Mytilus edulis: one gene and its partners. The protein of the gene in region 1 purifies or fractionates together with the protein of each later gene. This does not show direct contact. Links are inferred from orthologs where the notes say so. Each region holds a gene or a part of one and is shown on either strand. Other genes may lie near its edges. The genes, in order: protein max-like, max-binding protein MNT-like and paired amphipathic helix protein Sin3a-like.

Region 1 (8,001 bases):
GAATGCAATATATCTACTATTAGATAAGTCATCATTGGGGCAGTCATGCAATAATTTGGATAGAATCAAAACAAAATCTGGGACAGATGAAAACGTCTGTTTTTTTACCATGCATACGTATCAATTATTTTGAAATAATATCTTTTCTCTGATATTCTTTGGTCATTTAGATATACAAAAGCTTTCTTCAAACTGAAACATATAAATCTGACCAGATCTAAATTTACTGCAAGCGAATGTGTATTCAGAACTTACTTAATTTATTGCAGTGGAAAGGCAGAAAAAAAATTGAAGTCATTGTCGATCCAGAGACTTCTCATATATCGATCCAGTGTAACGACGTAATGGTCATGGAAAAACCCCGACCTTATGCAATGCTAAAATAGAGGTATCGACTTCCAAACTAAATCTTTGTTTCTATTCCTGTAAGAATTTACATACAAAAGAATGAAGGACATTTTTTTTTACATTAATCAGTACACGTGCTATGTCATTGATAAATCTTATAAATAGCTATCATTGATGTATTAAAACGGGAAACACTTATACCCTGTTATAATTTTGAATATATCTGTTTTACATTAAATGTGATAAAAAGGTTCCATACCAAGTGAACTTATGAAGGATTTCCAAATATGTTTCTTCTGTAGAATACTGTTCATTAAATCAAGGGTTAATTTTCGAATACATGTGATCAGGTGATATATAGTTAAAACTAAATTACTTTATAAATGCATTTGACTCTGTATGGAGAGATGCTCTTTTGTACAAACTTTATAATATGGGGGTAGGAAAGAAACTTTTTAACATTATAAAAAGTAAAATCACAAAAATACTGAACTCAGAGGAAAATCTAATCGGAAAGTCCATAATCACATGGCAAAATCAAATAACAAAACACATCAAAAACGAATGGACAAGAACTGTCATATTCCTGATTTGGTACAGGCATTTTCAAATGTAGAAAATGGTGGATTAAACCTGGTTTTAAAGCGCTAAACCTCTCACTATGATGACAGTCTCATCAAATTCCGTTATATTTAAAATGATGCGTGAACTAAACAGACATGTATAATAAATAAAATAGTAAAAATATGGGTACAGAAGTCATCATCGTGTAACAATTTTAAAAGGAACAATTTAACAGAACACTAATACATCTATCTACAAACACATTCATTGATTCGCGTGTCTGACGTCAGAAAATTTTATACGTCACATATATTTGTCACATATATTTGTCGTTCAATGTATATACAAACAATTTTAAATCTCACAAGGGCAATCTTAGCATACAGGGTTAAAAAATCAAAAGTATGTAAGAATTAATTTCAGAAATAGATCGAGATTTGAAATAGTCCAAAAGTTATAGAATCTATAAGAATCCACAAATAGTTCGTTCCACTACGCGATTGGTTAATTTTGACGTTTGTGGTTCAATGTATTTTCTAATTCATAATAGAAATATATCATAATGACAAAAATGTAGAACAATATCATACTGACGGGATCTTTTAAAGTACAGAGTCACGTTATAAGAACCAAAGAAACACAAAAAGTCCAATTAACAAAACACACCAGCAAAAAATGAAAGAATATACAAACACATTGACGGGATGTTAAATGGATATCACATAAAACAATCCAACAGTAAAAGGAATATTAATAATAGAACAAAGCCAAATGAAAGAACAATATAACACGTTGTTAAGATGATTAACAACATCAGTACGCAGAATCTATACATCAAGACCATCGTGTATTATTGGTGATTTGTGAAGTTGATACGGAATATTTATCAACAACTGAGGTCTTGGTACCTTCCGATGATTTTTTTTTTAGAAAAAGGACGAGACGTTCTTTGACATAGTACACTTTGTGTCATCAACTTTCGACTCAGACACTGATGACGTTTTACAAAGTCTGTGTAGGAGCTGCAAGCTCTTGAATATCGAATAAGTTGTGAAATATATATCGCATATGCAGGTGAAGTTGGTATATTGCTACTAAGGTGGGGGAATTTAAAACATCTATATGATGACACTGGGTCTTCAATAAAATATAAAAACATGGTAACTGATATGTTTAATATTACAAGAGGGGTAAAACAATATTATTCACTGAGTCCTACTTTATTTAATATATTCATTAATGACATCACAGAGGTCTTTAAAAATGACTTGTGTTATCCTCTAAAAATTATAGACTAAAAACTAAGTTGCCTGCTTTTTGCAGATGAATTTTTATTTTTTTCAGAAACTAAAACAGGCTACAGAATAGTCTCAATAATTTAGCTTTATACTGTGATAAATGGCAGATAGAATTGAATATTAAAAAGACAAAATCTATGATATTTAATAGGACATGCTCTAAACTAGAAAAAAAACATTTTTAAATTTTAAAAACAGTAACATTGATAATGTATCAGAATACTCATTTTTAGGCTTATTAAGGTAGCACAGTACAAAGATGTTTCATCCCCAATCAGACATCTTTAAACTGATGCAGTTCCACTCCTCTTTCTTTAAAATTATAAATGAAGTACCAAAAGAAAGTAGAAGGATTAATCTTTCAAATTGTGATAATTTCATTATGACATAATTATTACATAATTAATTTTTATGTAATTAGTTGCCATATTGTGATGTCCATACTTGAATGAATTTAGCTTCTTTGTTATTCATATCATCCCAAAATATTTTATACATTCTTGCACAACACAGTTTGACCTCCAAAACTGTGTCTCAGATTTTTCCTATTGTATTTCATTCTCTCATAAATCTTCAATGAAGTTTGCAACATCAATTCATAAGAGACCACTAAATTCAATTGGGTATAAAATTTGTTCTATTGATGTTTTTGGAAATCTGAGACACGGTTTTGGAGGTCAAGCTGTGTTGTACAAGAATCAATAAAATATTTTGGGATGCTATGAAGAACAAAGACGCTAAATTCATTCAAGTGTGGACATCACAACATAGCAACTAATTACATAATAATTAATTATGTAATAATTATGTCATAATGAAATTATCACAATTTGAAAGATTAATCTTTCTTCTTTCTTTTGGTACCTCATTTATAAAATGTAAAGAAGGATGACATGAATTACATCAGTTTAAAGTTGTCTGATTGGGAGTGAAAAAAAATCTTTGTATTGTGCTACCTAAATGCAATGGCAACATGTCTCATAGTACTTAAGAACTTGTCAAAAAAAGCCCAAAAAGCTTTATTTGGGTTGAAAGCTTACACAAAGTCTTTGAATAATTTACCAGTCAAAGTGGCATGCCACCTGTTTGATTCCCTCATAAAACCAATTATGATTGATATACAACTCTGAAGTAACACATTTAGGCACCCATATATCTCTTTTTAGAGCAAAAAATAGAGCTTTAAATTCTGGAAAAAAGCCCAATTGAAAATTTACACTTGCAATTTTGTAAATTCTTACTAGGAACTAGAAAGAATGCTTCTTATCTTGCAACTAGAGCTGAATTGGGGAGACTTCCTATAGAATTTAATATTAAAACACAAACTTTATCATATTTAAAGAGATTTGAATGCTGTAAGTTAAAATCCTCTTTTGAAAGAAGCTTAATTACACGCTTAGTAAAAACTTAGACTCAGAAGGAGTATACTCCTGGTTTACCTATGTAAAAAAAAAATTAAGTGAACTTTATTTAGATATAACACAAATTCAACAAAATACTAGTTCAGAAAAAAAAAACATATAAGTTAATTATTTAAAGTTTATATAAAAACAAGCTCTAAAAACTACTTTGAAAATTTGATACATAATAAGAGAGCAGAGAATATGCCTTTTAAATGTAAAACATTAGATAACGAAAAACATGTTATATTAGATTGTAAATTAAATATGGAACTAAGAAACAACTTTTTTAACCATTTGGATTTTAATTTTTCTGTTCAAGATTTATCTGATGAAGAAAAATTAATTTTTATACTCAATCCATCAACACCATCACAAGTATATAAATTGGGGTCCTACATCAAAAGGTCATTAGAACTGATGACAGGGGACACTGGAATATTTACTGTAAATGAATGATTGTGTATATATATATATGTGAATTATAGTTAAATTGTTTACTTATTTTGTATGTCACAAAGTTAATGTTTCAGTAAAGTTTAAATTGCAATAAAAATTTGAACTTGTATAAATCCTTAAATAAAACAGTACTTAAATCATAAAACACTTTTAAGTTTTGCTACCTTCAGGCATAGATGACCTTTGTTTTAGCCCTCCGATTGTTTTCTTGGAGCATCACTGATATGAAATTTAAAGAGACAAAACACTCACTGAGGATAGTTTTCTAACCAAACATCTACGGAAGGTCAAAAGTAGACGGTTTTAGGGGTGGGTGGGGTCATAATAAAATTCTGATCCCTAATTTGATGCAAAAAATAGTGTTCAATCTATACAAATCCTCGGTTTAAGCAGTCTAAGTATAGAACGTCTTTAAAAAGTAAAATTTCAAAAATACTGAACTCTAAGGAAAACTCATTTTTTCTTATAAAGCAGAAAAAGATTTTTACCATATTTCTGTCAACGTATATTTGTTCCCCCTTACAGAACTTCCAACGGAAACTTTGTTATAAACATTGTCATGATATTTATTCCTGTTGTAACAAATATTCTATACAATTTATTCCCGTTAACTTAGGAACCGGCATACATACTGTAATATTTATTCCTGTGTAAATAATAAAAATCCAGAATATTTTTTCTTTTTGGAACTTCTATTCCGTGACATTTCTACGCCTATTTCTACTTTATTATGTTAAATTTAAAAAAAAATGATAGCGTTGAAAGCTAGTCTAATTAAATCGAAAGTATTCAAATTTCGCGGGTTTTAATCCAAAACATTGTTTACATCACGCCGGAAGTTGCACGTGGGTATCCCTCGTGGCGTTGTTTGGTTCGCCATTTTAGGTCGTAACCTGGTTGTTTGAACGGGTTTCATCGTTGAATGGGTGCTGGATACCATCATGAGCGATGAAGACAGGGACGTTGATATAGAAAGCGATGTAATTGAACTTTATGTCCACCATTTTTATAATTTCCATATTTTTAAGTCGTGATAATGACGCCTTGATTACATTTTATTTGACCTTAAAATTTCCTCTATGTATACATTACAATGTTGTCTCGTTTTGATTTTGTAGGAGGACGATGACGAATTATCCTCAAATGCCAATACACAGTTTATGACACAGGTATAATTAATTAACAACGATATACGTGATAGAATATACTTATCTTTTTTTTATATGATCAAGTACAATCCTGTTTATAATTAAAATTAAAACAGTGAATCCCTCTAGATCTTTTAAAATGAAATCCGTCAATATAAGAATGGTTTCAAAGTTTCCTACCAAAGCATGCATCTGGCATCTGTTGTTTGAAATATTTGTCACTGGACCTTTAGCAAATGCACCTTATTCTGTCTCACTTGGCCAACTTCCTTCTTTTTGTCTCCAGTGTCGAAGGATATCAGCAGAGAAAACAGTTGAGGAAGTGAACATTTTAAAATTTTAATAGATTATGATCCATTCACAAAGAATCATTGATCAATGGAATAGTCATTCAACAGTAACAGTTTGTGCAGAATCTGTCAATATTTAAAAAAAATCATATTAATGATGAACATTGGAATCAGAAGAAGTTTAATCCTACATGACATTAGATAACATTTATAATATAAATGTAAGGGACAAGTATTTAAAATATTGTGGAAACCATCGTACAACATGTATACCAGTTCAGAAAATTTATTCATTCTATTTATGCGCACAGCTCATAGTTAAAATAAGTAATTTAATATAAAGTAAATTATGAGGCGACAAAAGAAGTTTTTAACTTAATGATCGCCGCAATAATCCGGGTAGAATCCAGGTAGGTAGGTAGAGTTAATTTGAAAAACAATGCAATGAGAGGGAGTCTGTTTAAAACAGTCATGCATCAGTGATTCCTGATATATTTGCTATATAATCAACCAAATTTTTCTCTCAAAATAGGGGGCCTGGATCAGCCTATGGTGTATTAAAAGTCACACTGATAATGCTGATTACAAAACTCCTATTATTTGATAAATATTGAAGTGGCATAATTGCTAATGAGACCAACAATCAACTGAAGACCAGTTATTTTTGTGTATATTTTAGTGCAAAATAAAGATATTTGCCATTGATTGACATCCAAGTCCCTTGCTGTTAGTTTTTTAGTCCATTAATTTTTACATCAAGGGAACTACTATTTACACTTGACTTGTGTGTACGCTAATTTGTTAGTTATTACTTAAAATCAAATTAGCTCCTGTAAAATTTTGCAATACATGTTAAATCATTGGACTTTAAAATTTAAGTTTTCTGATTGTTTCATAAAGCCACGAGGTAAATCAGAGACCGATCTATGGTCATTCAACAATAAACCGGTGTTTATACGATATAGATGAGATCAAAATCATCCTCAGACTATTAAAATGGTGAATACAGACCTGAACAGAAACTATATAATCAAAGAGCTGTCAATCAAAAACATTCAATAATTTAATAAGACACAACAAAACCACTTGCAAACATTCTTACATACATTTTGTTATCCTGATGAAAGCAGTAGAAATTATTCATCTGTTTTGTTTTAGGCTGAAAAGCGTGCTCATCATAATGCATTAGAAAGAAAGAGGCGAGATCATATAAAAGACAGCTTTTCCAGTCTACGAGATTCAATACCATCTCTGCAAGGAGAAAAGGTATCATCAGTCAAAGTAAATATCCAAGTTCATCATAAGGTTATTCCTGGAAAAAAGTTATTGAAAGGTTGAATTGTCATAGAAATACACACAAAAAAAATCAATTTATGAAGAAATCATGATGTTCAAAATAATTTTTTTCCTGGAATTTCCCTTACAATATTTTAGATTATGAATTATAACTTATGTTTTCTATTCAAATATTTTGTTTAATCTTTTAGTGATTTTCTATAGTTTTTCTTAAAATTCTTGTTCATTATTTTTTTTTTGTAATACAGGGGTAGAAATATAAAGAGCTCTCCTGTGGCTGCTGTTATTCAAGACATTCAACCCAAGTGCAACTTTCCCAACTTATGGCACTTATGCCAACTAAGATATCTAATAACACATTAAAAGTTAAAAAAAATCAATTGCTAAGACAACTAGACAATTTATAAGAGGGGTCTTTTGAGCACAAAATATTATTTTTATAACTTTACCGCATACCATGTGACTTGTGTATCATATGAGTCCTGACAAACTATGTCTAATGTTGTGTTGTTTTGGTTTTTATGCCCCACCTACGATAGTAGAGGGGCATTATGTTTTCTGGTCTGTGCGTCCGTTCGTCCGTCTGTCTCGCTTCAGGTTAAAGTTTTTGGTCAAGGTAGTTTTTGATGAAGTTGAAGTCCAATCGACTTCAAACTTAGTATACATGTTCCCTATGATATGATCTTTTTAATTTTAATGCCAAATTAGAGAGTTTACCCCAATTTCACGGTCCACTGAACATAGAAAATGATAGTGCGAGTGGGGCATTCGTGCATACATGTGACAGAGTTGTCAAGCCACAACTGGAGATTTGGAAATTTTCAGCTGGAGTTTTAGCCTCATAACTGGAGATTTTATATCGACGTACGCAATGGTTTTTTCGTGTGTGTTTAAACTGCATATCTTCCTTTTTTGTTAAAAAAAACCCCAATGATTTCATACCTTCAACATGTTCAAGCACCTGCATAGCCATTTTTACTTAGTAAAATAGAAGATAAAGGGGGGGGGGGGTCGAATATTTATTCATCATATATAGTTCAAAGTTAAAGTGATCCGCCATCATATATAGTTCAAAGATAAAGTGATCAGCCATCATACATAGTTGGCAAAAAGTACCTCTGCTTTAGCCAGATTGTCAACTTTAGTACCACTACTGAACATGTTTGTAAAAGAAGGTGTTGAATTGATAGAGTTGTTG
Region 2 (7,822 bases), on another chromosome or scaffold:
CTACTTAGACCACTCGGCCACTGAGGCCCCTGTTGAAACATGTGTTACAAACCAATCTTTCAATGTTATTTTCAATCTCTGTGTAACTTACCTCTCAATCCAACCATACTACCATTGAGTGATGCGTAAAGGAATGTTATATTGTTTGGCATGTGGATTAATTCTCTTGTAGGAGTTATCTCCACCCACATTGATATAGATGTGTTCCTGTAACCATAAATTAATTATTATCTATATATAAATGTCTTAAATTGAATAAAGTGTATTAATGAAAAACAATGTTTAAGTGTATATGTATATTTCTTGTAATTTCAATAACCCTTCTGTGTCATTTGGTCTGTTGTGGAGTGTTGTCTCATGGGCAATCATACCACATCTTCTTTTTTATACTTGATGATTATACAGTAAATACAAACTCATTGTGTCGAACTGGGTTGAGTTGTAACAAAGATAAGTCAAGGAATTTGTCAGTTGCTCAGTGCATTCCTAACTGTTGTTTTGTTTCATCTAACCTTGGGTGACTTTATAAGGTGTAATACCACCATTGATTTTTCCCCCATTAGTCTTTGTTAAATTTGCACTTTTCAAAAAAATTGTGCATAATTCATCTTTGTTTCAAAGAAAGAAATACGTAACACGAGTAAAATTTTAAATATTTTAAGGGTTTCCAGACAGACCTAACTTTTAATGCAGGCTTCACATTTTATCAGTTTATCTCAGGATAAGCATAAATCTTAACCATGTTAACTTACACAACTTCATCATTTGTGGGTCTAGAGAAATGTGACGTTGGTCTTAACTTTGAGTATATATGGTGTAATCTCAATGGAGGTTCAAAATCTCCTATCTGTATGTCAGAATCATTATTAGTAATACAAAAGTCAACTTCAGCAAAGTTCTCTAAAAATGCCTGCCATTCCTGAAAAATAATAAATCATCAAAATCAACAATGTTAACAGCTCAAGTATGTAGTACAGTATAGCTTTATATTTCAAAGAAAATAATTGTTTGAAATAGCATGATTAACATATGCATGTTCTAGCTATAATGCAGCTAAATTGAAAGGCAGGCCTGTCCTGTCTGTCTTAAAGCCCTGCCTTGTACTTTTGTTTTCTAAAATGCCATAATATATTCATAATTTAATTTTCATGGTTCAATAACAGTTTATACTCAACATGCTCAAGTGATTCTTTAAATTTCATGACAACAACAAAAAAAATAATCCATTTGAATTGAAATCATAGACATGTTAGAATTAATTTAACGTCCTTTTTTTATGCTTTACAACAAACCTTAAAAATTTTTGGAACAAAGTCAGTAGGGGACTAATAAATGGAAGAGATGGAGTGTTATTGCCGATGAGACAACTATTGAACAGAAACCATATATTTATATTTGTAGTATCATTTATTGTACTCCATGTTTGTGATCCTCCCTAAAAACTGTCCACTTGTTCATGATCAATGTACTTACCTCAGTTAAATCTGGATTGTAGAGGTCATTAGATTTAAAATAATAAGACAGTGAAATCAAAGCTATGGCAAATGCTCCGAGACAGACCATGAACATCACCAGTGGAGGACGGCTGCTGGTAAATCCTTTCAGATTCTCCCATAATGTCATTTTGTCAGCCAAATCTCCTGAAAATAATGGGGATAATTAATTAATATTCAGTGAAAAAATCAAGAAAATCTTGGTTTCAGACTCTACGATGTCACTCACGTAAATGTTTATCACCTTGTTAATGTGCATTTCATCAAAATGATTCAGTATGGATCATATATTGATGTCTAATTTGCGAAAGTCAAATAAGAAAATTACCAGTTTCCCTCCAACATACGGACAAAGGGAAATAACTCCACCTATAATCACAACAATATAATTCTTTTGGAAAATAAATCTACCCACTGGCATTTACCTTTGTACAATTTACAATACTGGCTACCAGTACTTATCATGCTTTTCATTCTAAACATTTGGATAATATGCCAGTAACCAGTTGTCATTAATTACCTTAAATATAAGACAGTCAATCTTGTTTGTGTTACAGTTTAAAATCATACACATCTTCAGCACCTGAAGAGCTAAATATCCTTCAAATACTCTTGTTTATCATCCTTGAAATGCTTGATGGGGAAATATAACTTGATAAGAATTAAAGGCTATATGTTTCCCTGAATTATGACACTTTTTATCAATTAACACAATGATCTACCAATTTTTACAAGCAGGAAATGTGTTTTACCTGCATTTGTGTTTGTATCACTATTTAAGGCCATGGAAAATTAATTGTTGGTTTCCCCTAACATGGGAAAATTTTAAAGGCAGGCTTTTTTTTTTTTTTTTTTTATGTAACCATGTGTAATTTTATATCTATATGTTTTGTTATAATAACGGAACTATAATCTTGCATATTTCCAACACTTTTAGTTGTCTCTGCAAAAAAAAAAAAATTTTTTTTTTATTATTATATTATTATATATTTTTTTCTAAAGAAAAATTTAATGACCCGGCGGTAAAAAAATGACCCGGTTGGGTTAGGGGAAATCATCAATTACTTTTCCATGGCCTAATGTGAATAATGTCACTCTCTAGTATGGCAATAATAAGATCTTCAAATTTGATATCTGTCAGTGCTACATATCTGCAGGAACATATATATTAACTGTTCTTTATACTTGTATTTAGCTTTTTCTAAATTTGCCAAAAAAAAATATATAATGAAACTATAAATATGTGTGGGGAAAGAAATTTTTAAATGTGTATTTCTAAGGATTTTTTTTATAAATTAAATTGCAAGGTACATAGCTTGTGTTTTGTTTGTCAATTATATATACTGAATTAGCAACAATTTCTTGTAGTAATAAAAAGATTAACAAATTGATTTAATTATATGTAATTAATCTTAGAATAACAAATTCCTCGATATAACATTGTGTAATAAACAGATTAATCAGTTGATTTAATCATGTGATTTAATTTTCACACCTTCATTAAATGGATTATGTGTATTATTTCTACAGTTATAATAAACATTTTAATTAACTAACATTCTGGAAGCTGTTTGATTGCATAAATTTAACATTTGATAAAAGGGTTGGTGAAGTCCTAAGATGACATAAACTTTTAATGCTTCACTGATGTTTGGGCACCATGGGTGCTGAAATAAATATTGAGTATGTTGGAGGTTACACATTAAATGTGTTTTGACTAGGTAATTTACTTTACCATGTTTAAAGGATGCTGATTTACACAGTTGTTCTTTTTAAATGTTTTTGATTGTATTTTTTTTTATAATGTAACCATGGTCATATTAGTCAATTTCTTCTAATCAACAGTTCGGTTTCAATACAATTCATAAAACAATATCTGGAATCCTTATTTGAATGTGGAGATTTAATAAGTAATATCATGAATAATTTTGCTTGTTTTCCTAAGGGTGAAATAAGCAAGTGAAATGATTTAAAAAGATAACCATATAGTTTTACTCTTCTAGTTTGAACCCTTTTTACCAACGGTTGGTGAAATATGTAATGGTTTATTTTTATAAATTGTGACTTGGATAATCAGAGAGTTAACTCATTGGCACTCTTACCACATCTTCTTATATCTCCATGTTTATATTTCTGACGTTATCACATTACTTTAGTGAGTAGATTAAAATCAGACACAGTAAAAGAGACTATAACATTGGAACTGATCATCTGAAGTATTGCACACTTTTCGCATTTATTTCATCTTTAAAACAGAGTCAAAGGAACAATTATGAATAATTTAATCAGACATGGTACAACCTGACAACAGGCACTAGAATTGAGAATATCTGTCAATAGTAATAAAATATATGCAAACATCTAGCCTGTGATTAGTACAAGTTTCATTAGCATCACTCCTACCAGTAAATGTTCTTAGCCAGGCATGATTTTTAAAAAATTTTCTTTATTAATTCACAAAATCCTGAGGTAAAAAAAGATTTGTATAAGCTTTTTACTTTTAGAAAGTATACCCTGGGAACAGTATATCTATGTTAATATATATGTTCCTGTTTATCAAGGCTTTTCAATTGTACGTGTGCAATATATTTTGCAGCTTAAATTTCGAATTTTTATTTGCTAACTTCTTGTTCCGTAGTTCTGACATGCCAAATCAGAGATTATAGTGCTTCAAAGTTAAATTATTTAGCATGCATGACTCCATGTGATGAGTAGTTCTTCCACTGACAGAATAATCTGCAAAGACAAGAGTAAATAAAAACTCATTAAAAATTTACCAAATATATTACAGTTTATGATCAACTGTAAATTCACGACATCCTATCGCCAGTTTCAGCAGCAAAAACTTGTCAAAATGTTGTCAAATCTGGAGCATCAAACGTCACAACTTCCGGAACCCATTTTGAAAGGTAATATATCACGTGATTTCTATTCCACATGGCTTCTATAATCACCAAGGGGAACCGCCCACTTCTAAAGTAAACGTGGAAATGCCATCGAAGTTTGTAAAAACTTGGCATTAATTTTCAACATAATGCTATAATATCAATAAAAATACATTAAAGGGATATCTTCAAAAGTAATACGGCAATAAAAAATTATAGATAAGTCTAGAATAGGTGAATCTACTTGTTGAACTAAATAAATGGAACAGCCAAAACAAAACATGTGATTCTGAAGTTTGTGTATGACGTCAAAATGCTTAAATTTCATTGGACAAGGATGACAGATGCCAATCAAAATCCACGTGGTGTTGTAATATTTTGCACGGCAGCAAGTGTTTTGGTACCGCCGCCCGCCATGTTCTTTTAATATTTGTAAGAATTCAATCAAATATTTGAGGACACATAGTGTGTCCTCATGGATATATGAGTATTTCGGATGATAAACAATTAATGACATCTATAGAAGAGGGCTTCGGTTCTGGCGATGAGTTTGGAAACTTTGTTGGAAGCTGCGGAATATCTAGAATGGCGTAACAAGCCTAAAACACGTGGTAAGCAAAGCACATGGCTGCAGAAATTGCCTTATATGAACACGAAAACTACATTTTGTCGTTTGAACTTACAATTTTATTACAGTATGCACAATATTCATTCATGCAATAGATAATCTACGCTTCAATTTTTGTGTTATAAGGAAGATATCCATCTTGAATTTTTGACGGTTCCTGGTCGCTACCTAATTTGCATATATTTATGAGCATGATCACTCGACGCTTGGATTTTTTTTTATTTTTTGAAGGTGATAGTACATCAGAGGACCCACACGGATATTCATCACGAGTTGGGAATGATTCTGACGACTCTCCTGAATCCAGCAACTCTGGAAAGTATGCAGATGGAGATGAAAGAGAAAAAAGGCGAGCCGGAGGGTCTGTTCACGTGACATATTTTGACATGTGTATTTGCACACTAATAATATTGTCGATCTGATCGACCTTGAACACACGTGCTATTTGCCGCGTGTCATTGTTTACAAACAAAATAATAGACGTTTATTCAGTGCAATAAATTTTTCATATAATAATAATAAATGAAAAATGAGAGAACTTTTACAAATTATTCTCTAGACTACATGTCCAATCCTTGAACTTTTTCAGAAAATAAAAAAAAAAAAAAAAATCAGTTTTTGATGTTTTTCTTCCAACAATTTGAAGAAGAGCTTATCATTTAAGAATAATTATTGTTTTTCTTGAACTTTTTTATATCAACACCTTTGAAAACAAAATTTAATTAAAAAAATCAATTATGAACAAATATTGTTAAAAAAAACAGTAATAATGGCTTAGCACATTTGTAATTAAATGGCTTCATGGTTTCTAAAAATGTATCCTTTGCATGATTTATACAATTTGCGAAAATCTTCATCCATCAACTAGTCCAAATAATTATGACGTCTGGCAAGGCTATTTAAATTCTTTTCTGGGACGCTTTCCTACGAAGTCATAACGCTGAAGCCATTTTTTACGTCTGGAGTTTGAGGGGGAACTTTGAGACCTAATTTTGACATAAAATTTGCCTTGCAGGTTTAAAATTTTTACGTAGTTACAAAGTCCTACCTTTTTTGTGCTTTATTGATGTAAAATATTTCCAGAAGAAATGGTAAAATAAGATACGATTCCATTTGAGTCCGGCAAATATTGTATTTTGTTTCAAAAAGATTTCCCACAATAATCAATGAAACGTCACTTCCGGTGAATATTAAATATTAAAATCGGTAAGATTCAATGGACCCGAATTTCCGGAACGTTCGATTTACATTATCTGGAAATTCATGTCTTTCAAAATGTCCCGCTTTTAATATTTTATATTCACCAGAAGTGTCGTTTCATTGATAATTGTGGGAAATCTTTTTGAAACAAAACAAAAATCCAGATGTCATAATTATTTGGACTATCCATCAACATGATCAATACTTGTGAATAATTTCAGCAACTGAATAAAAAAGAACTTATTTCAAGATCTTAAAACAATTATGAACACTATTATTTGTGACTTTCTGTCTGTTTTTTGTATATTACTGAGTGGTTATGTCCTTCTGTCCCATGTATTTTTGGTTAAACTTTTCCCAGGAACTTTTTCTTGAAATTTCATTAAACTAATGCATATTGTACATTTTGTATGTGAGCATGCTTAATACTGTGTGACATCATAACTTTCCAATTCATTGATTAAAGAACACTTGTATGTACAAAATTGTGTAAAATTTCGTCACATTTTTCTCTGGAACTGCAAATCAAGGCTTTCTAAAATTTAGAATGAACCTTCATGTGAGCATACTATACCATGTTATGTTTGTTTAAATCCGTTATGAAAAACATGATACAAATGTTACATCCATGTACATGACATACAATGTATGATGTCATTAGTAGAATTATAAATATTTTTAAACATGAGTTGAATGCACACAAAAGCATTGACAAATGGAAAACACATTTATGATATCTGGTTTCTAATAATTAGCACTCCTTTCAAACTCCTGTTGCATATATATTTTAACTCATCATTTTATTATTTTAGGGCTGGAACAAGAGAAGTTCACAACAAATTGGAGAAAAACAGGTAAACTTGTAATGCTATATAAACACTTAATTATCAAAGTTCATCATGTTCATGGATACTGTTGAATTTTTTTGCTCCAATTTCTTGACCAAATGCTGTTTTAAACATAAGAATTCGAAGGTTGATGTCAGAATCTCTTCTTGGTTTATAACTGCTACATATATTCTTAGTATCAATTTGACACTGATCTTCATCTTCTACCTACATGATCTGTGTAACTTCTGTGAAATAATTTTGGCCACACTTTAAAATATTTTGGTTGTTCAAACCCTTCCCAAGACAGCAGGTGCTGAGGGGGCATAACATGTTTCTGTTCTCTAACTGCTAACTTTAGTTAAACAAGTAAATGTTTCAAAATTTGTACACAATGCTAATTACCGCAAAACACCAATAAAGTTTGAATTTTGGTGACGTCACTTTTACTGTTCTAGAGCTGTGCACCCATTTACAAATGGAAAACATCTGAAATTTTGTTTTCTTTCTCTTACTTTTGTTTGCCTCATCTAAATGTTATGAAACGTGTACACAATGCAAAATAGAGAAGCAAAGATATGGGCTATCTATCCATGACACTTAAAGTTAGAACATGCACAGAAAAAAACACAAAAAGTAAAAGAACAGAATTGAATGGAGAGTTGGCACTTTTTCCTTCTTACATCTATCTAGAAACAATATATTCTGTTATATTTGCTTTAACTCTTAGTTGCTGATGAACTATAGGTGGAGAAGCAGCAACAATAGTTGTAAAGATAAGTTGAAAGA
Region 3 (7,973 bases), on another chromosome or scaffold:
AATGAGTCATACCCCACATTGACCATTTACACAGAAATTAACAACTCTAGGTAACCGTTCAGTCTTTAACAATGATCAAAGACTTTTAGCTCATACAACATAGACAGCTATAAAAGGACCCGAAATTACTAATTCCAACATTTCAAACAAGAAATCCGAATTTAAATCAGTTGTGTTACAAAGCAACAAACTACAATCACTGAATTGAAGGCTCCTGCATGACTTGGGACAGACACATACATACAGAAAGTATCGAGGTTAAATTCGTTTGAAGGCACCAACCCTCCTCTAACCTTGGACAGTGTTGCAACTTAAGTTAAAAAAGTATAAAAAAAAACAAAAAAAAAACAGTTAAAATTGTTTACTCTACCAATTGAATCACATCTAGTTTAACTACTCAATACATAAAAAAGAAGATGTGGTATGATTGCCAATAAGACAGCTCTCCACAAGAGACCAAAATGACACAAAAATTAACAACTATAGGTCACTGTACGGCCTTCAACAATGAGCAAAGCCCATACCACATAGTTCAACTACTGAAGTTTAGTATAACAGCTAGTAGAGCTACTACCTGTAAAGTCCAGTCTTATCTTCTATCTACCAGATGAGCAACATTTATTTACTACTGCAATGCTGTCTGAAACTATCGGGTCAATTTAATTTTAACAAACTGCACGACCAAAACTATTCTCCACTGACTGAAACAGCATGTCAAAAATGTGTCACTATATACAAATCCTTGGAAACTATTTTACATGGTAGAATAAGATAGATATAAACTTTAAATACAAACATATATGATCAGCAAGACAATATTTACAAATTTAAGTCCAAGATCGTCAGTCGACTTGTCCTTTAATGACAATTTTCCATTTTATTATTTTTTGTAGCATTTTCGGAGATTATCTTGGAAACTAATATATTAGATGGATAGAAACTTTTAATCGCAAAAATATGACCAAGACACTATTTACAAAGCATAAATCTTTAGTCAATCTATCTTACTTTTCACTTCCTGAGTATATACCTTAATATATTTTGAAAGGTATATTTAGGAGGGGGAATTAATGAGACAAGTGCCTGTGATCAGTGGCGGATCCAGAAATTTTTATACATGTTATAAGTGGGGGCCCAATGACTGGCCTAAGAGGGGGCCCGCTCCAGTCACGCTTCATTGATTCCCTTTATAAGCAACCAAAATGTATCCCAAAAAGGGGGCCGGGCCCCTGCCCCCCCCCCCCTAAATCCGCCTCTGGTAATACGAATCCTTGGTTATTGCTTTGAAAAGGTTTCTTCTTCTTCTTCTTCCCGTTACGAGTCGAACTCTGTAGTAAAGTGTAATTGACTCGGGCGCATCTCAAACAGACAGGAGGCCACTCCTCTGGCCAAAAGTAAAAGTCCAGGAAATAATCTGGACAGTATTTACAATAAAAATATGATATTAATTACATCTTTGTACACTGGTTATCCTGCTGTCTATTTCAGATGTGGCTGGGTCCAGGGGATGGTATTCACTCTGGCCCTGAAGTCCTCTAGGGATCCGGACTCCACTACAGATTCGGGGAGTTTATTCCATTCTCTAGTTGTTGGTGGGAAGAATGAGTGGTAGTATACGTCCCTCTTCACTCTAGTTTGTCTAAGTTTGTGGTTGCCCCTGGTCCTACTGTCTCCTGTCGTGTAGTATTTGGCTGGATCAATGGCAATCATCTGATGTTGAGTCTTGTAACACAACACAAGACTCTGTTTCCATCGTCTGTGTTGCAGTGATTCCCATTGAAGTTGGTCCAGTAGCTTAGTTACACATCCAGGAGAGTTGTCCTGGTAGCAACTATAAACAAAGCGAGCTGCTCGTCTTTGTACCTGCTCTATGTCGCGTATGGTGGTGATTTGGTGAGGATCCCATACTGGGGAGGCATATTCCAGGGTTGGTCTTACGAGCGTAGAGTAGGCTGTGGCTTTTGTTGCTGGAGTACACCTACCAAGATTTCTCCGTAAGAAGCCAAGTGTCTTTGAGGCTTTCCCTATGGTCTGGTTGATATGGTTTGTCCAGGTGAGGTCTTTGTTGATAGTGAGCCCCAGGTATTTCCCGCTGTCTATTGTCTCTAATGTGTGTCCATGGAGTGTGTAGGACGTCTGGTGTTGATGACGTCGTCCTGAGACACGGATGACTGTGCATATCTCCGGGTGGAAACACATTTGCCACTCCTTTTCCCATTTTTCCAGCGAGGTTAGGTCTTTTTGCAGCAAGTCTGCATCTGCTGTATTCCTAATGCGGCGGAAGAGTAGACAGTCATCAGCAAACAGTCTAGCGCTTGATGTTGTTGCTTCAGGGAGGTCATTGATGTAGGCCAGAAAGAGTAAGGGGCCCATCACAGTGCCCTGGGGTACTTCAGATACCACGTCAAGAGGGTCCGACTTATGGTTTTCAAGGATCACAGACTGAGTTCTGTTAGACAGAAACTGTTTAATCCATTCCAGCTGGGGACCTCTTACCCCGTAATAATCCATTTTACGAAGAAGTCTGGCGTGTGGTACCTTATCAAAGGCCTTGGCGAAGTCTAACAGGATGATGTCTGTCTGGTCGCCGTCCTCTATGTTTTTAGCTATTTCATGTATAGTTATTACCAGCTGAGACTCGCATGACCGTTTGGTTCTAAACCCATGTTGTTCATCGCAGAGTATGTTGTTTTGGTCAAAGTGGTCCATTATAGAGCTGTGTACTATGTGTTCCAGTAGCTTACATGAGATGGATGTCAAAGAAACTGGACGGTAGTTTGCAGCTGTATGCTTTTCCCCTTTCTTAAAGACTGGGACTATGTTGGCTGTCCTCCAATCTTCTGGTACTGATCCCTGGTCCATTGACAGTTGGTACAGTCTGGTCAGGTAAGGTGAAAGTTGATCAGCCATATTCTTTAGGATGAAGGCTGGTATGTCATCCGGGCCAGTTGCCTTGAACGGTCTTAGTCCTCTAAGTAGCTTAGTGACACCATTCTGGCTGATGTTTATTAGTCTCATGGTTGGATATGGACTCGGCCCTTTATCTGGCATGTTGTTTAGGTCTTCTTGGGTGTATACTGAGTGGAATTGAGTGTTTAGTATAGCAGCTTTTGTTGGTGTGTCGCTATGTAGGTATCCATCTTTATTTTTTAGGGTTGTTATTCCTGACGATTCCTGTTTCCTACTCTTTTTGTATGACCAAAATCTTTTAGGGTTCTTGTATAAATCATCACTGACTATGTTTTGCATGAATTTTGTATGCGCTCGTCTAGACTCTCTTTGAAGTTCAGCTTTAATGTTTTTATACCGCTTCCAGTCCTTTGTTGAGTTGGTGTGGTTAGCTTTAGAGTAAGCTCTTTGCTTCTGTTTGCTTAGACGTCTTAGTTGGTATTCATCCAGGGATGGCTCTGTCTAGCAAGTGATGTTTTTGTTGGTACGTGTTTTTCCATGGAATCCTTTATAATTTGTTTAATTGATGTCCACATGTTGTTAATGTCATCAAAGTTTGTCTTTTTGAAAGTATCAAATTGGCTGTCAAGGTGTTTCCCTATACTCTCCAAGTCTGCTTTCTTCCATAGGTATATTTTTCTCTTTGATGGTTTCAGTTTGTTGACATTTGCTGATATGTCCACTAATACTATATGTCGTGGTCGCTATTTCCTATAGGTGGCAGTGTTTTACATCTCTCTATGTGTCCTGGATGGCTTGTAAACATCAGGTCCAGTATGTTGTTTCCTCTTGTGTTGTTGTTGTTTATTTGCTGGATTGACAAGTCAGCTGACATCTGTAAAAATGCTCGATTGATTGATTGTGGCAGTTGGTTACCTTTAATCTCATTTCTTTCCCAGCTGATATCAGGTAGGTTGAATTCACCTCCAAGGAGGAATGTGCTCCTTTTGTTGTTGTTTCTCAGATTTTGTATCTCTGTGATTGTTTTCTCCACATATTTACTGTCTGTTTTATTTGGTGGTCTGTAAAAGCTAGTAATTATGTACTGTTTGGTTCCCATCTTTATTTTGCCTGTTATCATTTCAGCTTTGATTCAGAACATTTCTTTTTTGGGAAAAAATAACAGATATATTTTGTTTATAAATATATATAAACCGTGGTCGTTCCCGTTACGCCTAATCCCTTTCCTAAATCAATTATCATGCATAGTCAAATAAATTTAAATCAATTCACGGGGAAACCCAGTAACCTTGAATATCTAATTTTAACACATCACTTTGATTGGCTTCTATTTTTGCATAATTTTATGTTTGGAATTCCAAATTTCGGGCAGTTTGCCAATCATAAAATACAAGACGAAGGAAAATAATGTTTTGCATCCTGATTTTTTAAGGGGAGTCTAGGTAATCTGTATTTTTTAACAATAATTCACGTCAATTTTGTATGAAGTTGTAAACTAAACCGAAAGAGGTGTCTGATGATAGTACTCTAGTACACGTTTCTTGTGTATGTTGTTAAAAATGGACTCGTCTATGTATGAACACAGAACCCTTTTTGAAATATTCTTGTATTACCCGTACTGATGTTTGAGGATTTACAATGAATATTCGTCTAATGCTCTTTTTATTCAAAGTAGAATATATAAATTTTTAACAAATGGTTAAAAAATAAATTTTCAAAACGATTTCTCTCCGCGAAGAATAAATGTATCTAGGTCATGACTCACACAGGTGTTTTGTGTGTTTTCATTCGGAACACGATCATTTAAACAGGCGCGCGTCTTTCGGTCGTTTTACCACTTTAATATAAAATAGTAACAGATGGTTTACAATTGTAAATGAACCTTATATTACAATCCCTAATTTTGTATACATTAACTTTTTTTAAGATGTCAAGGGCATGTATCGATAAAAATACTACCGAGACACGCACCTTTACATATGTGTTAGGACGAGTCTACTGAAATTACACACAGGGGAAGGCAGGCAGTTGTTTATACGGCCGACAAGTACGTCGGTGATACACAGCTGTGGAAAATGTTAATTTGTTAATGATTTAGGAAATTCCAATTTATGTGTTATATACGTTAGGAAAGGTAAGCTTTCATTGCATTAGAAAACACTACTGGTCAACCAAAACAAATATAGGATTTTGAAATTTGGGTGGAAACATAAACTGATGTTTGAAAACCAATGTCGGCCATGATGAAACAGTGTGTGCTAAAAATATCCGCGGGAAAGGCGTTGCTTGTTCTGTATTTATTCTTCAACGTAATCACTATATAACAAAGCACATAACATAACATTTGTAAAATTAAAACAAACAAAAACTTTTATTTTTTTTTTTACAAAAAAAATTGTCTCGGCCCCCTCCCCCTTTCTGTGGTTTGAAAATTTATTGACGGTCAATAACAAATTGAGCTAGTATTTACTGTTTAACAACACAATACTTTATCATATTGATATTATCTTAAGGTTTCCACATAAGGTTTTGTGAGGGGTTCTTCATCTTTTTCTGTAAGCATGTGCTCACAACTTTGATGTTGATAATTTGGTCCCTTTGTTTCTTCTTGCTTTGTTGTGTTAGAAGTCTTACGAATACTCCTTGCTGTTTAAAAATCTGTCCCGCTTTTCCGTTGTGGCGTCATATATTGTCTATTATGACGTATAATTTAACGGGATTTTGTGATGTGCACTAATTGCGGACAAATGGCAAAAAAGAGTATCATCTAGACCCTGATAAAATAAAAACAGCAGTAATGTTAAGAAGACGCAACCAAAAATACATGTATCTTGTAAAATTAAGAAGATGTGGTAGGAATGTCAATGAGACAACTCTCATAAACAAGCAAAAGAGACTGTAAATAGTGTTTGATGTTCACGTTGCAATTATGAGTAAAACAGCTATATTTATAGAAAAATAAATAGATCTGGTGAGATTGCTAATGAGGCAAATATCCACCAATAGACCAACACTTGTACTTTTATTAACTCTTGAATATCTTCTTATGCAAAGATTGAGAAATAATATTGATTGCAAGATTTGAAATTGACTGTTTTTCATTTATCAAAGCTTTTGAACAATTTCATAAACTGTAAAACGAATTTGTTTGATAAAAAGTTTTTTTAAGAACTTTCTATTATATGATTCAAACAATTGTAAACTAAATTAATTTCACCTTTTTGTCTTTCTCAATTTTACGACTTTCTGTCCATTTTATTTTCTGGCATCAGTTTGTTTTACAGAATTTGTCAATCTTGATCATAATCAAAACATGTTTTTTACAGCTTATAAAGTAAACATCAAAAGTAAATGAATCCGGGAGACACCTATCGTTCATTTACATCTATGATATTCATATTTAAATTGAAATAATTTATACTATAAAATACAGGTCAAGTTATATTAGTATTGAATATTTTAAACATGTTCCATTCAAGAGTTATGTCCCTTACTGTAAATGTTGATAAATGTATTTCCTTGGATTTCAGATGATAATAATATTACTGTGTGACCAAATCTTAAGGCAATTATAACATAGTGTCATCAATCATAAACTACATGTCGAGTTCAATTTTCATGGTATTGACATTTCCGTTCCAGAGTTATTCACCTTAATAACCTTTAAACTTTGATATATATTTTTTGGTCCATGTGATAAAAAATCTTTTAAGATTTTAATATAATGCTACAAACAAAAGTTATATGAAACATAAAATATAGGTGACATTGCAATTGGGATCTAATTTAGGACCTTAAATTTTAAATTTATTTGTAAAAGAGGGACGAAAGATACCAAAGGGACAGTGAAACTCATAAATCTAAAATAAACTGACAACGCCATGGCTAAAAACGAAAAAGACAAAACAGACAAACAATATACACATGACACAACATAGAAAACTAAAGAATAAACAACACAAACCCCATTAAAAACTAGGGGTGATCTCAGGTGCTTCGGAAGGGTAAGTAGATCCTACACATGTGGCACCCGTCATGTTGCTTATGTGATAACAAATCCGGTAAATAGTCTAATTCGGTAGGTCACATTCATGAAAGGGAAGGGGATTGTAGTTACGACGTAAGGAACAAAGAGTTTCTACAAGCAATGTGATCTAAGAGTCACTGAATTCTAGTTTTCTGATTTAACCCACATTAATTTAGTAGAAAAAAATCAATTTCAACTGGATAATTTAGTGTAAAAAAATTTTGTTCTCATATAAACCAAATGAATTTTCCTTTGGAAATAAATTAAGTTCCATGCACAAGTTAACTGATTTTAGTGTAATTGGGATTGCTTTGGAAAAATATGTGATTTCCCTGATTTTGTTAATGAAATTGAAAAGAAATTGCAATTGCTAATCTATTATATCTACCTTATTATTTTTTTTTGGCATAACTTATATTATTGGTACAAAAACATATGTGCTTGTCAATTTAATAATGAACATTATATACTAATGAAATGGTTTTGTTTGACAGGTATACATCCTATCCTAACTATACAGGTGTACAAATAATGCAGCGAAGAGTTGACGAACAGGTTAGTGATCAGATTCAATGTATATATAATATTTATAATTATCACTTTTTACCAAATTTTCATTTGACCTTACTGACTGATAATTTCCTTTCTCAGCAGAGAAGTGCAATATGAAAAATTATCAGTAGAAACTAAGCGCGCACATGTCGTTCTCAATGAAATAAACAGCTTCGTCATAAGTAAAAATTGAAATAGGGATAAACAGATTATCCTTGGTAATCTCAACTCAATTACTTTTCTCACTTTCGCCGTACCGACTCAATCGAGGAAATCAATTTGTTGAGATGACAACCGATAAAAGATAAATATTTACTAACCCTTAGCTAGTTAGTCAGCCTGTTAACTATATAAGAACCTTGAAGGCATTTCTATAGAAGGTTGATCATCTCTCTGGACACGTCTGCTTCTATCAGTCTTTACTTTTAACCACAAAAAGATAAAAATATTTCCTCACTATTTCATGATTAAGATTTAAATTTGT

The links.
Region 2: the proteins of protein max-like (region 1) and max-binding protein MNT-like purify together in Homo sapiens (affinity purification with mass spectrometry; 7 studies listed by BioGRID and IntAct, with this or other methods). This does not show direct contact. The link is inferred for Mytilus edulis from reciprocal best matches to the Homo sapiens genes MAX and MNT.
Region 3: the proteins of protein max-like (region 1) and paired amphipathic helix protein Sin3a-like purify together in Homo sapiens (affinity purification with mass spectrometry; 3 studies listed by BioGRID and IntAct, with this or other methods). This does not show direct contact. The link is inferred for Mytilus edulis from reciprocal best matches to the Homo sapiens genes MAX and SIN3A.

What each region holds. Positions count from the first base shown.
Region 1 is NC_092346.1:5,090,820-5,098,820, forward strand, and holds the start of protein max-like, read left to right. Parts: upstream 1-4,907; 5' UTR 4,908-5,010; coding exon 5,011-5,049; intron 5,050-5,187; coding exon 5,188-5,238; intron 5,239-6,665; coding exon 6,666-6,788; intron 6,789-8,001. UniProt on the Homo sapiens protein: Transcription regulator. Forms a sequence-specific DNA-binding protein complex with MYC or MAD which recognizes the core sequence 5'-CAC[GA]TG-3'. The MYC:MAX complex is a transcriptional activator, whereas the MAD:MAX complex is a repressor.
Region 2 is NC_092349.1:3,785,820-3,793,641, reverse strand, and holds the start of max-binding protein MNT-like, read left to right. Parts: upstream 1-4,707; 5' UTR 4,708-4,922; coding exon 4,923-4,989; intron 4,990-5,237; coding exon 5,238-5,367; intron 5,368-7,018; coding exon 7,019-7,060; intron 7,061-7,822. Other genes in the region: transmembrane protein 248-like, read right to left, coding at 92-207, 753-919, 1,474-1,623. UniProt on the Homo sapiens protein: Binds DNA as a heterodimer with MAX and represses transcription. Binds to the canonical E box sequence 5'-CACGTG-3' and, with higher affinity, to 5'-CACGCG-3'.
Region 3 is NC_092354.1:81,250,143-81,258,115, reverse strand, and holds the start of paired amphipathic helix protein Sin3a-like, read left to right. Parts: upstream 1-4,673; 5' UTR 4,674-5,044; intron 5,045-7,431; 5' UTR 7,432-7,468; coding exon 7,469-7,492; intron 7,493-7,973. UniProt on the Homo sapiens protein: Acts as a transcriptional repressor. Corepressor for REST. Interacts with MXI1 to repress MYC responsive genes and antagonize MYC oncogenic activities. Also interacts with MXD1-MAX heterodimers to repress transcription by tethering SIN3A to DNA.